3 linked regions of the Cricetulus griseus genome follow. The protein of the gene in region 2 interacts with the protein of the main gene of each other region in a pairwise test. Links are inferred from orthologs where the notes say so. Each region holds a gene or a part of one and is shown on either strand. Other genes may lie near its edges.

What was found.
Region 1: the proteins of Aamp (region 2) and Aen interact in binary tests that used the Homo sapiens proteins (3 or more experiments, as listed by UniProt). The link is inferred for Cricetulus griseus from reciprocal best matches to the Homo sapiens genes AAMP and AEN.
Region 3: the proteins of Aamp (region 2) and Vps52 interact in a two-hybrid assay, tested with the Homo sapiens proteins (2 studies listed by BioGRID and IntAct). The link is inferred for Cricetulus griseus from reciprocal best matches to the Homo sapiens genes AAMP and VPS52.

Annotation. Positions count from the first base shown.
Region 1 is NC_048596.1:118,714,300-118,717,704, forward strand, and holds part of Aen (apoptosis-enhancing nuclease), read right to left. Parts: intron 2,583-3,405; 5' UTR 2,519-2,582; coding exon 1,994-2,518; intron 395-1,993; coding exon 194-394; intron 1-193. UniProt on the Homo sapiens protein: Exonuclease with activity against single- and double-stranded DNA and RNA. Mediates p53-induced apoptosis.
Region 2 is NC_048595.1:427,520,996-427,525,754, forward strand, and holds the start of Aamp (angio-associated migratory cell protein), read right to left. Parts: upstream 3,283-4,759; 5' UTR 3,191-3,282; coding exon 3,070-3,190; intron 2,627-3,069; coding exon 2,468-2,626; intron 1,659-2,467; coding exon 1,539-1,658; intron 950-1,538; coding exon 810-949; intron 550-809; coding exon 405-549; intron 190-404; coding exon 106-189; intron 15-105; coding exon 1-14. Other genes in the region: probable hydrolase PNKD, read left to right, coding at 3,638-3,704, 4,436-4,604. UniProt on the Homo sapiens protein: Plays a role in angiogenesis and cell migration. In smooth muscle cell migration, may act through the RhoA pathway.
Region 3 is NW_023276806.1:232,057,740-232,062,664, forward strand, and holds the start of Vps52 (vacuolar protein sorting-associated protein 52 homolog), read right to left. Parts: upstream 2,936-4,925; 5' UTR 2,729-2,935; coding exon 2,639-2,728; intron 1,051-2,638; coding exon 966-1,050; intron 350-965; coding exon 297-349; intron 160-296; coding exon 84-159; intron 1-83. Other genes in the region: Rps18 (40S ribosomal protein S18), read left to right, coding at 3,187-3,189, 3,508-3,606. UniProt on the Homo sapiens protein: Acts as a component of the GARP complex that is involved in retrograde transport from early and late endosomes to the trans-Golgi network (TGN).

The sequences.
Region 1 (3,405 bases), on a different chromosome or scaffold from region 2:
CAGGAGTTGGGTGGGCAAAGACCTACAGAGATGAGTCTAGAAGAATTTGACTATCACTAGGGAATTCACACAGGAAAGGAGGTGGCTACACCAGTGCTGCCTGTATGCAAGCAACAGTCCACAGTCCTATCCAGAGTTCAGCAGCATTGACAGTCAGATGAGCCCTGGCACCAAGAGATTCTGCACCGCATACCTGAATTTTCTTGTGCAGCAGGTGCAGGGCCAGGTCCTTCAGAGAGACCCGAGCTCGGGTGTGGAAGCTGGGCTGGCTGAGCAGGTTTGGGACGTAAGTGGTATCCCGGGTCTGGCTCCGGGGATGAACATACTTGAGGGCCTGGAAGTCATTGTGCAGTGCATGCCCCACCACCACCTTGCCCTTCAAGAGCTTTAGGATCTGTGAGGAGAGAGGAAGCAGGAAGGCCCCACTGTCACGAAGGAAGACAAACCTGAGCATCCTTAGCACTGGTGCGTGAAGCACTCTACAGGGAGGCAGCAGTGGGGAAGGGGAGAGTCTATGAGTCCCAGTTGACCATGATGCCCCAAGTTTGAATACAAACCCATCTTAGCACCTGCCAAAGGGATACTGTCTCAGCATTCCAGGAAACAGTTGTGAGGGTAAAGGAAGCTATGGATGTAAGCCATGCCTTCAAATTGGGAGATTCAAGCAGCTTTGCACTAGCAAAGGCAATTCTTGGCTGCAAGACCTTCTCACCCACTCAGATCTCAGCTCCTCAACCTTCCTTGGAAGACCTCCCATTATCCTCATCTACCTAGGAGGCCTTGGTCCTTCTTTGAAGCTATCTACACTTTCTAGGTATGGATTTAGCTTTTATACGTCTTACACACATTTAGCTCTTGGGATGATCTAGTCTCCCCTCCCACACAGTAAGCTCCTTTGACTTGACCAGTGATGCTCACCCAGAGCACAGCATTTACTGATTTGCTTGTGTTTGATGGGCCGGTCCTTTACAGGCTCACTATGCAGTGCAGGCTAGAACTAACATCAATCCTCCTACCTCAGCCTCCCAGCCAACCGATCTTCTGATCAATAAAGACCTGTTGAATGAAATCAACAGAACCATGTATGGTGCTGTTAGAAACACAGTTAAGTAGAAGCCCTTGTTAGACTCAGTGACACAGTTCCTTGCTCCTGAGTCCACTGACTCTTCCTTCCTACCCTCTAAACATGCTAGGCAACTCTATTTGGACATATCCTGTTCCTCCCTGCCCAGCACCTTCCCCATGCTCAGAGAAACAGGGCTAAAGGACTGCCAACTCCTGGTCATTAGCTGTTGGCCTTCTACAGCCTGTCCCTACTAGCATGGGACCAAGTTTTTGTGGCAGATGAGTAAGATGCATTTAGACTTTTGATTGGGGTCACCCCCAGTCTCATACTCCACCTGCCATCAAGTGGGGAGAAATCAAACCTAGACTTAAGCCCAAGTGAGCCTGCTCCAGGGATCACTGCCAACCACAAACACGGATGGGAGGGATCAGAGTTGGGAGGGCTCACACAGATTACCTTCCTACCGCTTCTATTCATGATCAAGTCTTTCCAAAGCAATGCTTAGGGCATCATGGAATGTGTCTTACTTAGGGTTTCTATTGATGTGATAAAACATCCCTAGTATATTAGTGGGATCCCAAGTACTGATCATTTTTCCAAGCACTGAAAAACCATAAAGAGATGGGCTAAAACAACAACCCTTGAATGTGACAGGACTGTAGGCAAATTTTATAGACTCCAAACATTTTGTAAGTTGTTGTACCTTTACCTTTCACATCACCTTCCTACCAGCAGCCCCCTGCCTAACAGCCTGGCAGCCCTTTAAAGGCAGCAACTGGATTTATATTAACCCATACTCTGGGAAAGGAACTACAAATTTGGTGACGTGAAGTAACTTCTCAAGGCCACACACTCCCCAGGTGATTTAAACCAGGGCTTCTCTCCCCAACCTGTCATTCAGGCCATTCAAGACCCCAGAGTCCTCACCTCTTTCTGGGCCACCTGGAAGGGGATGGCCTTGAGCATGTGTTGGCGGGTAATGCCACTCCAGCGGGTGCGGTAGTCCACAATGGGCATCTCAGGCCGGATGTACTTGTCGTAGAGAACATCGCCATTGTAACTTACTACAGAGCAGCGGGCCAGCTCGCTCACCCGCCCACGAGGACCTGTACCCACCATCTCACAGTCAATGGCTACACATTTGCTGGGCCCAGGCCTTTGGGCTTCTCTGGTGACAGGCCTTTTGCTGCATGGGCCACCACCGCCAGGCGTGGCTTTGGAACGCTGTCTTCTGCTGCCTGAAGCCTGTGTGTCTGCTGGTGTCTGTGATGGGGAGGACAGAGGGCAGGATTCTGGCCCTGGTGCCATATTCCCCTGCAGCAAGGCTTTGCGGGCCATGAACCGCTGGTGCTGCCGGCTTCTCCTCTTGTGTCTTTTCCGAACCACATCCTTGGTATTCAGGCTGGTGAGGGATGGACACTGAGTAGACTCAGGGACTTCTCCCAGCACCATGCCAGGCAGCTCACAGCTAGGGACAAGGGAAGCCCGGGAGGCTATCTTCCAACGGGACAGAGTGCTGGAGAGAGATCACATAGGAAGAGGGCTTGGAGGAGGATGCCAGGCCACACTGCTGCTCATCCGGTGGTATATGCAGCTCAAAGCACCTGACTGAAACTCAGATACCTTTACTAAAAACTGCATCAGAACACCACACATACCATACATGCCTTCTGCAAGCGTTACACGGAATCATTCTACCTCCCCACTGACACCACAAAGTATCACTGCCCTTATTTATTTTGAAATTACTCCTGGTGTGGTTTTTTTGTTTTGTTTTTTAGATTTATTTATTATGTATACAGTGTTTTGCTTTCACATATGCCTGCATGACAGAAGAGGGCACCAGATCTCATTATAGCTGATTGTGAGCCACCATGTGGTTGCTGGGAATTGAATTCAGGGCCTCTGGAAGAGCAGCCAGTGCTCTTAACCTCTGAGCCCATCACACTTATTTTACAGAGAAGAAATGAGGTCCGCAAGCTGAGTGACTTGGTTAAAGGCTGATAGGAATCCAGAGTCCATGCTCTGAAGTCAAGCTCACCTCTAAAAGTGGTAGCTTACAAGACTGCTGGGAGTATGAATACAGGGAAGCAAAGGTTTCAGAAACAGATTCCAGCTGAACATCATCACCGAAAATCCCTAAAGCTGAAATCTGCAGTGCAAGGTTTAACCTAGGTCTCTATAAATCACTGTGCTCCCATGTCTGACATACACATACCTCACACATAGTAAGGCTCAATAACTAGTCTCTGCTCCTTTCCTCCAGCAAGGCGATTCTCTTTCGGACACTGGGCAGCCAGCTATCCTTAGGCCAGAGCTGCCTCCATCTGGACTCACTG
Region 2 (4,759 bases):
GTGACCCTCAGTTCCTAGGACAGAGCAGGGGAACATTGGCTCCGAGTCCCTCACTGGCTCTCTGGTTCCCCCAAGCCCAGGTCAACATCCTCCCTCCTCTGATACCTTTCAGTACATGGATGGGGTTTCCCTGCTTGAGGTCCCAAATCCTGATGGTACCATCTTCATATCCTACCACAGCTCTCTTCCCTAAAGACCAAGGCACGAATGACCAAAAGACACAGGGTACAGTCAGATACACCAAGCAAAGAATTAGCAGGGAAAATAGAGTAGAGGACCCCAAAATTCCCCCTGGAGTCACAGTAAGACCTAGTGTGGGGCAGCAGGAGGCTGGGATGACTGGAATACCCCCCAAGTCACTGGATCCACCTCTACCCTCAGGAAGAAGAGACAGCTGCTCTCACCATCAGGGAGGACACGGCCACAGGTTGCAGGGCAATTGGGGCCCTGGAAGGTCTTACAGTCACCATTCGGTACCTTCCACATCCAAGTGTTGCCGTCAGCTGTGCCCGCTAATAGGACAGGTGCCCGAGGGTGCCACTCCATCCACTGGGCAGAGAGGAAGGATCAGCAAGCAAGCCTGCTACCCAGCCAATCTGAGAGTCCATGAACCCCACCCATGTGTCCCTGCTTCTAGGGTTAGCATGTACGTTACTGGTGAACAGACATAGTGCTGAAGCTGAGCTACTATGGTTACTATGGTTCAAAGCAACCTTCTCCAGTATGGCTATGCCTGCCCCTCCCCCTCTGAGAAGTGCTCATCCCTACTTGAGGTCCCACAGAGTTGAAGCCCACTCCAAGGATCTCACCTCCAGGTCTCCTGCTTCAAAAGACCAGACTTCTTCCTTAGTATCAACTTGCCACACTTTCAAAAGACCACTCATGTCCCCTGTGGCCACTAGGGTGGAGTCATGGCTAAAACCAGCACATGTCACAGAGTCTTTATGGCCTGCAAAGAGAAATGGGCAGACTTTCAGTTCAAATGTGCCTGAGGTGTAGCAAGTTCAAGGCTAGCCTTGGCTACATAGTAAATCCAAGGCCAACCCAAACTATGTAACTTAAAAGAAAAAGTGGCAGAAAAGGAAGGACAGTAAAAGGTGTCTAAATGCTGGGGACATATGACCCATATATTTGGCTACCTTTTAAAAAACAACTAACTAGAAAAAAGGTAGGAGGGCCTCAGCAGAACAAGTGACCAAACTCACTGTAGCTCCAGGGCCCAGAAACTCCAGGTGTTCCAAGAAGATACTGTTGACCCCACTGTTCAACCACCCAAAGCCTGGGACTCCCAGGCCATACTTCTGTCTTCTGTTCTCCGTGCCTCTATCTACTCCTACACAGTACCACCTCCTCCCGTGCCCACCTTAGCCACACTCCTTTGGCCAATTAGCACTTCCTGTCCAAGTGCCCACAAAAGTTATTCTTCTAGTGTGGGTTCCTGGATCCAGCACAAGACAAAGGCTAGTAAATAGCCGCTGTGCGTTCACACAGGCCACCTGCCAAGATGTCCAGAGGGACACAACCTCCCAGCCTCTTACCTGCACACTCGAAGAGCAGCTCTCCATCACTGAGTCTCCACACAAAGGCTTTGTCATCTTCACCCCCTGTCACTGCCAAGGTGTTGGTTTTGGGGTCCAGGCTCACGCAAAACACAGATGCTGTCCCAAGAGATAGTCCACAAGAAAGGGGATGGAACTGGGCTCTCACCTAGAGTTCTGGTCTTCAAAACCTTTGGGGAGGCACACCCCTTTTCCCCAAGGCCACAGGTATTCTCTCCTGGACAGGCTACACCCAGTAGCAAGACCCAGTTCTTGTCTGAAGCATTAGGTTGTTAGGGAAATCCTTCACAAGTCCTCCTCCTGCTGCTGTCCTGTTCCCATTACCATCCCACTCTGAGGTACAAGCCAAGCGGTGGGTCCATGGGCACAGCTAACAGCACAGGGTTCCACCAGGCTGGGTATGAATTAAGTGATGGGAGCCTCATGAGACTGGCTTACAAAGAACTAGCTCCTGAGAAGATTATCGTTAAGGCTACTTTTGGAGTGTCACTTGCCTTTAATTTCCACCAGGATTACGTCCATTCACTTTCATCTAAGAGGACTTCTTTTGTTTTTCCAGACAGGGTTTCTCTGTGTAGACCAGGCTGGCCTCAAACTCAGAGATCCACCTGCTTCTGCCTCTCAAGTGCTGAGATTAAAGGTGTGCACCACCACCACCACTACCAAGTTGACTTTTTAAAAAGGAACACCAAGATCCAGAAAGCTAACAAAGGTGATAAACAGCAGAGGTAGGATTTGAACCTAGGTGTCTCACTTGACACCACTGCCAAATCTAATCCCTTTGGTCCTTCCTGTGAATTTCCTGCAGGCTTTCCTATTTGTCTCTCATAATATCCTGTTCAGGGCCAACTGGTCATACTCAAAAGTCCATCTGCACTGATCTGAGGTGAGCCCCTTCAAAGGCCTACCTGAGTGCAATGCAAAGGTGACCTCGCTATCATCCGGACCCTCCATGCTGCCGACCACCCCTTCCTGGGGTTCCAGGACCCAGCCCTCGTCATTGCCCTCTTCCTCCTCCTCTTCTTCCTCAAAGTCCACGTCTTCCATCTCCTGGGCCAGATCATCTGCTTTGGGAAAAGCGTTAAAAGATGGATCTCGAAAGATATAAGAGGAATGGGGTGAAGAGTGAATAGGACGACGCCAGAGTGGGTCATGTGGCCAAAGGTTAAGGTGTCGTCCCACACGTACCGAGGAGGAGGAGAGCGCTTGGGGGGCGGAGAAGGGGAGAGAGGCTAGGTCTGAAGACCTGGCGTTGGCCAGCGACCGTGTGGGAAGAGAGGACAGAGGGCATGACGGGAAGGGGGTGTGTGAGGGGAAGGGCCAGGGGAGGCGTCAGGGAACCCCCACCCAGCCAGGCCTCGAAACTAAGTGTGGGGGGTAGGGAAGGAGGGCTGGGAGAGAAATGTCGGTAGGAACGACCGGTAGGGAAGGGGGGAGGGGGAGGAAGCAGGGGTCAGAGGCCAGGGGTGAGCGCCTCCTGTCCCATGGCCTGAGGAGCGACAGTTCTCACCCGGGTCGGGCGGGCCTGGATCCAGCTCTACCACCTCAATGATCTCTTCATCTCCGTGGAAGCTTAGAGTCTCCAGCGGCGGGGTGTCAGCGGCCGCTCCGCTCTCCGATTCGGACTCCATGCGGCGAAACCTACCGATCCACTTCTCTGGGCCCAAACGCCTCCCAGAGTCAGCTCTGCGCGACGACGCGGAACTCGAGCCCCTCCTCCCGGGAGGAAGTAGGCGTAGGCGACTCCCGGCCGAAAGAGCGACGGAATCCGGACCAATAGCGACGGAGGTGGGCTGACAGAGCCGCCAATCACAAGGCAGAACTGGGATGACCAGGCCGGGGCGTGGCGGGAGAACCCAAGCTCCTCCCGACATGACTCCGCCCCCAGCTGGAGGGAAACAAGCGAGCGTGCGCGCCTCCGGGGTCTCCTGGGAGGAGTAGTTCTCCCGGGCCCGCTACGCGGACTTCTGGGAAATGTAGTTTCTGAGCTGTAGGCACGACGGAAGGCGCGGGGGAGGCCCCTTACGCAAACTACAATTCCCGGCGGGGAGCGCAGTGAAGGGGGGTGGGACCTGAACATGGCGGCGGTGGTAGCTGCTACGGCGCTGAAGGGCCGGGGGGCCAGAAATGCCCGCGTCCTCCGGGGTAAGGAGAGGGACCCCCGGGAGGGCAGGGCTCTAAAAGATCCCATTCCCTTCACATTCCACCCAGCACGACAGCAGGAAGTCAGGCTGCTAATTGCTGTCCATACCTCTCGGCAGGATCTTAGAGAGTCTGGGGGTGAAAGATGCTCTAGAGGTCACCCAATCTAACCCCTGCGTTCAGGTTACACTGCATGTCTAGGGTCTTGTTGATAGAGGGAGTCCCAAAGAAGCCTTTCGTCACCCGCGCGTTCCAGGGGTTTCACACTCACCGCAGTGCAGAAGAGCGAGCCCTGGGCTTCTGGAGGCTTGAGTTCTAGCACTGGGTAATTAGCGGTTTGACCTTGTGCGGAGCAGCTCGTCTCTCGGGGCTTCAGTTTCCTCTTCTATAATACGAGGGGATGGAGTTAGCTATCCTTAGGAATAGCTAAGGTCCTGTAGTTTTAAAACAGTTCCCAGGATTTCCTTCATACGTATGTCTCTGCAGTCCTTCCCAACCGGTCTTCTGAATAGAAAGCAGCAAAGCTCGCTGTCCTGGCACGAGGATGAGGATCCCGCAGTGACGTGGAAGTAGCTTCCAAAGGTGTCACCTCGATGGCGATTTTCCCATTTCTCTTTGGATTCTTCACAGCACTTGTTACTCCAAACTGCAGTCACTCCCCTCCCTCAAAACTCAGCCGCTCCTCCCCTCCCTCATCCTATACTGACCTACCCCCACCGTTCTTTTATTCACAGGGATTCTCTCTGGAGCCACAGCTAACAAGGCTTCCCAGAACAGGACCAGAGCACTGCAGAGCCACAGCTCACCGGAATGCAAGGAGGAGCCTGAGCCCCTCTCTCCTGAGCTGGAATACATCCCCAGAAAGAGGGGCAAGAACCCCATGAAAGCTGTGGGACTAGCCTGGTGAGTTTTAACTGCCCCTTTGCCTACCAGTGGGGAATGCACGCAAGGGATGGATGTCAACCTAGAAACTTAAGTTGCAGATGATGAGCTGAGTCCAAAGGAAGAGAATCGCTGGGTTCCAGGGATAGAAGCTCAGAGTGAGATGGGGGTGAGAT
Region 3 (4,925 bases), on a different chromosome or scaffold from region 2:
TCCCCTCTGCGGAGGATACAGTCCCGGGGTCCCACACACCCCAGGTCAGTGACAGCGCGTGTCTTCCCCTGTGCGGAGGATACAGTCCCGGATGGATTTCTGCTCAATATGCTGCAGCTCCAGCTCCACCTGCTTGGAATAGTGTCGCAGATCCACACCCTGGGGGAAACCAGGAACAGTCAGGATGAAGCCACAGTGAAAGGACACCAGAACAGACTCAGTGACTGGCTAGAGGGGACACATAAGACCCCGAGGAGAGGAGGGCGGGGACAGATCGGCATAGCGGAGAACCTCACCGTTTTGAGGGCTTCCTTCACTAACTCATCCTCCAGATTTGCCTGAATGTGAACTGGAAACAGACATTCATCACTAGGGTCCGGCGCCACGCCCCCCTCTGCCAGCATCAGGTACCCGCACACCAATCTCCCCTTTCCTTCCAGCCCCCATCCTCTCAAGGTAAAAGAACAGTCGCTTTGACTTTCTGCTGTTTCAGTTCCTCATAGTCTAGTCAACCACAAGCCAAAAATATTAAATGGGAATTCCCAATCGTGGCTCGGAGGCTTTAAAGTGTGTGGCACTCTGAGAAGCTGAAGGGCCTCTCACCCGCCTTGGATTTATTTGGATTTTCTTTGCTGGATGAATCTATGGTGTGTGTGTGGTACGAGTGTCCCAGAGATCAGACTGGCTGTCTGCACATGTCCATGTTCAAATACACACTTTGTTTTTTCTTAATAATCCCAAAGAGCAAGACTGTCAATGCAGCAATTTATCACAGTGGGCTGCATCATTACCCCACTCTTGCTATGCCTAAATTAGAAAGTAACCCTTCTCATTCAACTTTACACTACATTAGTAAAAAACATGCAGGGGTTAGTATGGGGGGTCACCTAGTGGGGGTCCTCTACTATATTCCTAAAGGATAAAGGGGGCTGGCTACTTTGCCCCCACCCCATGCCACCACTTACCATCCACTTCATCCAGGATGAATTCATCAGAGGTGATATCCAACTCCCCAAGTTGCAGGGGCTCTTGGAGACCAGAAACACCCCCCTGAAGAGGGACAGATTAGTGAGTGCGAGATACAGAAAGAAACGCTAGAAAAAAAACAAGGGCATATCCCTGCTCCTGAAAGTGGGTTGAGGGCGCTTTTTCAGGGGAGCCATAGTTAGTGGGTCAAAGATCCTGACACACGGGGGAGGGAGCTAGGAGAATGAGAAGGGGGAAAAGAGAGAGATGTGGGAGCAGAAAGGCTGAGTCAGGGGAAGAATAGAAGATAACAAGAATGGAGACACCATAATAGAGGGAGACATTTTAGGTTTACAGAGAAATCAGGCACTAGGGAAATGTCTGGAGATCTACAAAGATGACACCAGCTAACTATCTAAGCAACAGAGGAGAGACTACCTTAAATGCCCTCCCCTGATAATGAGATTGGTGACTGACTTATAGGCCACCCAATAGCCCCCATCCAGCAGCTGGTGGAAGTAGAAGCAGACACCCACAACTAATCACTGAACTGAACTGGAATCCAGATGCAGAGAAGGACAAATGAAGGGATCCAGACCAGGCTGGTGAAACCCACAGAAACAGCTGCATGGGGGAGCTCTTGGTCCCCACACTGATAGCTGGGAAACCAGCATGGGACTGATCCAGACCCCAGGAACGTGGATTTCAGTGAGGAAACCTCAGAAATCTATGGGACCTCCTGTAGTAGTTCAGTAGGTGTGGACTTTGGGAGCCCAATCCACATAGAGGGATACTCTCTGAGCCAAGACAAACGGGGGTGGTCCTAGGCCCTATCCCAAAGGATACCATAGACTCTGATGGCACCCCATGGAAGGCCTCACCATCCAGGGGGAGCAGAAAGGATATGTGATAGGTAGGGTTTTAGTTGGGGGGCTGGTAAGGGAGGAGGGGAGGAAGAGAGAACTGGGATTGTCATGTAAAACAATCTCGTTTCTAATTCAAATTTTAAAAATCTGCAAAAAAAAAAAAAACCAATCCTGACACACTCAAATCTACTTTTCTGGGCTAATGAGTAAAAAATATGTCACTAAATCAAGCAATTCATGGAGTCGCTGGAGGTGTTCAAATGAGAAAAACTAGGATTAGCCCAACTTGCCTTTGGACTTAGGACCTCTGTCTACCATGCCCCCCTCAGGGAGGTCTAGATGCTAAGACAGTCAGCTTCCCTGCTGTTTCCCCGTGTGTCGGGTGCTCGCTTACACATCCTCACTCGGCCAACTCCTAACGACGACCTATAAGGTGGGGGCGTTATAACAACGCCTCCTCTTTGCAGGTGTGGGAAGCGAGCACGGAACACACCACGGCTGACAAGGGGGACCAAGGCCGTCGGGTTCCAGAGCGCACGCGCCTCGTCTTTTACAGTGTGTTCTCTTTCCTACTCTTTTTGTTTCTAGCGTGAGAAATAGGAAGCTGTCAGTGTGCCCGAGGGGCTTGAGTTCCTGCCACTGTGGTCCCTGCGAAGGCTCGGCCACCACCCGCGGCGGCGGCGGCAGCGGGGGGAGCCCGGTGTGAGCCCAGCCTACGCCCTCCCGACGGCGGGAGGAGCTGACGATGCGAGGACAGACGGCCCGCGCTCGCTCGCTCGCTCTCTCTCGCTCGCTCTCTCGCTCACCAGCGGGCCCTCCTCCTCCTCCAGGTCCGAGGCCCCGGCGCGCAACACCAGCTCGCGGGCCGCCGCCGCCATGGTCGCCGCCGCTGCCATTCCCCCGCAGCCTCACTTCCGCCAGCTGTCGGGCTCGGGGGGCCGCGTCCCGAAGCACAACCTCAGGTCCCAGATCGTCTCGTTCGGCGCAAGAGAACGTTCCCAGATAGCCGAGCCCAAGCGATGGGCCCCAGTCTCCCCTGCCGTCAGGCTGAGATCGCTCCGCTCGAGCGCAAAAGCGAAGGTCAGCGTCTCAAGCGCAGTGCCCGCCCCGGAACCTTCGCGCCCAGAACGGGAACCGTACGACCGTAAACGCGACCGGACCGGAAGTTACGATCCCGGAGCCAAACTCGCCCAGTTGGGACTCCTCGCTAGGGGAGGGAGGAGGAGAGGCCGTTTCCGGAAGCGCTGCTCCCCGGTTAGCCCCGCCCCTTCCCCGGGGAGCTATATAAGAACCACACGTCACTTCCGCCCCCTCTTCCACTGGAGGCCTACACGCCGCCGAGTGTGCCGCCGCCATGGTGAGCGCGGGCTCCGCGCCGGGATCCGGCGACATCGGGGCCGGGGCGGGCAGGGCTTTCCGTCGGGGCTCCCGGGGTGCCGTGGGCCGCGGGCGCGCAGCTCTCCCTGGGGCGATGGCGCGCGACCCCCTCCCCGGCGGGGGACGGCCTGAGGCGTGAAATCCGGGGACCCGGGGCCGTCCCTCCCCGGACACCGGGTTGCCAGCGGCCGGGCCGCGCGTGGGGACCTCCCGGCTCGGGGCCCGCGCTGGGGCGAGGGCAGGGGCGCCGGCCGCCCGGGCGTTGCGGCGTCTGACACCCAGCCCCGTGTCCTTTCAGTCTCTGGTGATCCCCGAGAAGTTCCAGCACATCCTGCGCGTCCTCAACACCAACATCGATGGGCGGCGCAAGATCGCCTTCGCCATCACTGCCATCAAGGTGGGCGCGGGGGCGGCGGGTGGGAGACGGGAGACCCCGGGAGGGAGATGGCTGCAGGGGCGGCCGCCCTGGCCTCGCACCTGGGGACGTGGGGCTGGAGGGGCCCTGTCTGTCCCCTCCCGGCTCGTGAGCCGGCCTGGAGCGGCTCACAGCCCTGGGAGGAATGATTGCTGCGGGCTAGCAGCATACATGTCTGCAGGACGCACGCACACGCGCCAGGGGGGCAAGGTGGCGTCTGTGTTAGCTGAAAGAGGAGCCAACACGTGTGTTTGGTTTATTGCAAAAAGTCAGTGCTGAGTGGAAGATTGAATAGCTCTCTTGGAAGAGCTTCAGAGCCTTCTAGGTGGGGACGTTCATTTTCTTTATCAGACTTGGTAATTTGGGGATTAAAAACATCTTGCCAGTCAGTGTGGGTGCTCCCTGAGGAGGGCAAGGACCAGACCTGTCTGTGCCGTCCCGAGTTTGCCGTGTGTGGTGGGTTCTGGTGGGATGGTACTGAGGTGGGTGCTGGGTGTTTTTGAGAAATGCGAAGTTAACTGGTGGGGTTTACAGAATCAATGAAGTAAAGGAAACTGGGTAACCGAGTATGTCAAATGGACATAAAATCGGAGTCATTGTTTTTAGATGTGTGAATTCCCACTTTAAGATTTTTAGTGCTTGCCAAATTTAAGGGTTTTTTTATGTGCACTTCTGGAAACAGAATGACAGTGGGTGTAGCTGGCAGGGCAGGGGGAATGCAGTGTCTGGGGGGTTTGAAAGGCCTGGGTGATGCCTGTGACCTGCCTTTTCAACTTGAGCCTCTTGCTGATCTCTGGTAGATAATTACAGTCCCCTACAACCCAGGCAAGGCGCTTGGAGGCTGTGCACAGTGTCTGGAGATCCTGAGTACTCAGGGTTCTGTTGATAATGTTGATAATAATTTGAGGTGAGGTGTGACTAAGGTGTAGTGCAAGTTGACCGAGAAGGGGTGAAAGGCCATGGTGCCTTGTTTTCTGAATTCTCTCTGGTTTTTTGAGACAGGGTTTAACTTCATAGATGGGGCTGGCCTCCAACTCAGATCCGCCTGCCTATGCCTCTTGAGCACTGGGAAAAAAGGCATGCGCCACCACTGCCCCACTGTTTGCTGAGTTCTTTGAGGCTGTCGGCTGCTTCTCTGTTAAGGTGATAGTGTTTGAATATCTGGAAGCCTGTGGGAAGGGGTTGGGCAGACATAGGGAGTGCTGGCTGCCCTTGCTTGTGGGGGCTTCTAGTGCTGTCAGGGTCCCCATCCATCCAAGCTGCTGGAAGTAGCAAGGGTCAATTCTTTGTAAGAGTAAGTG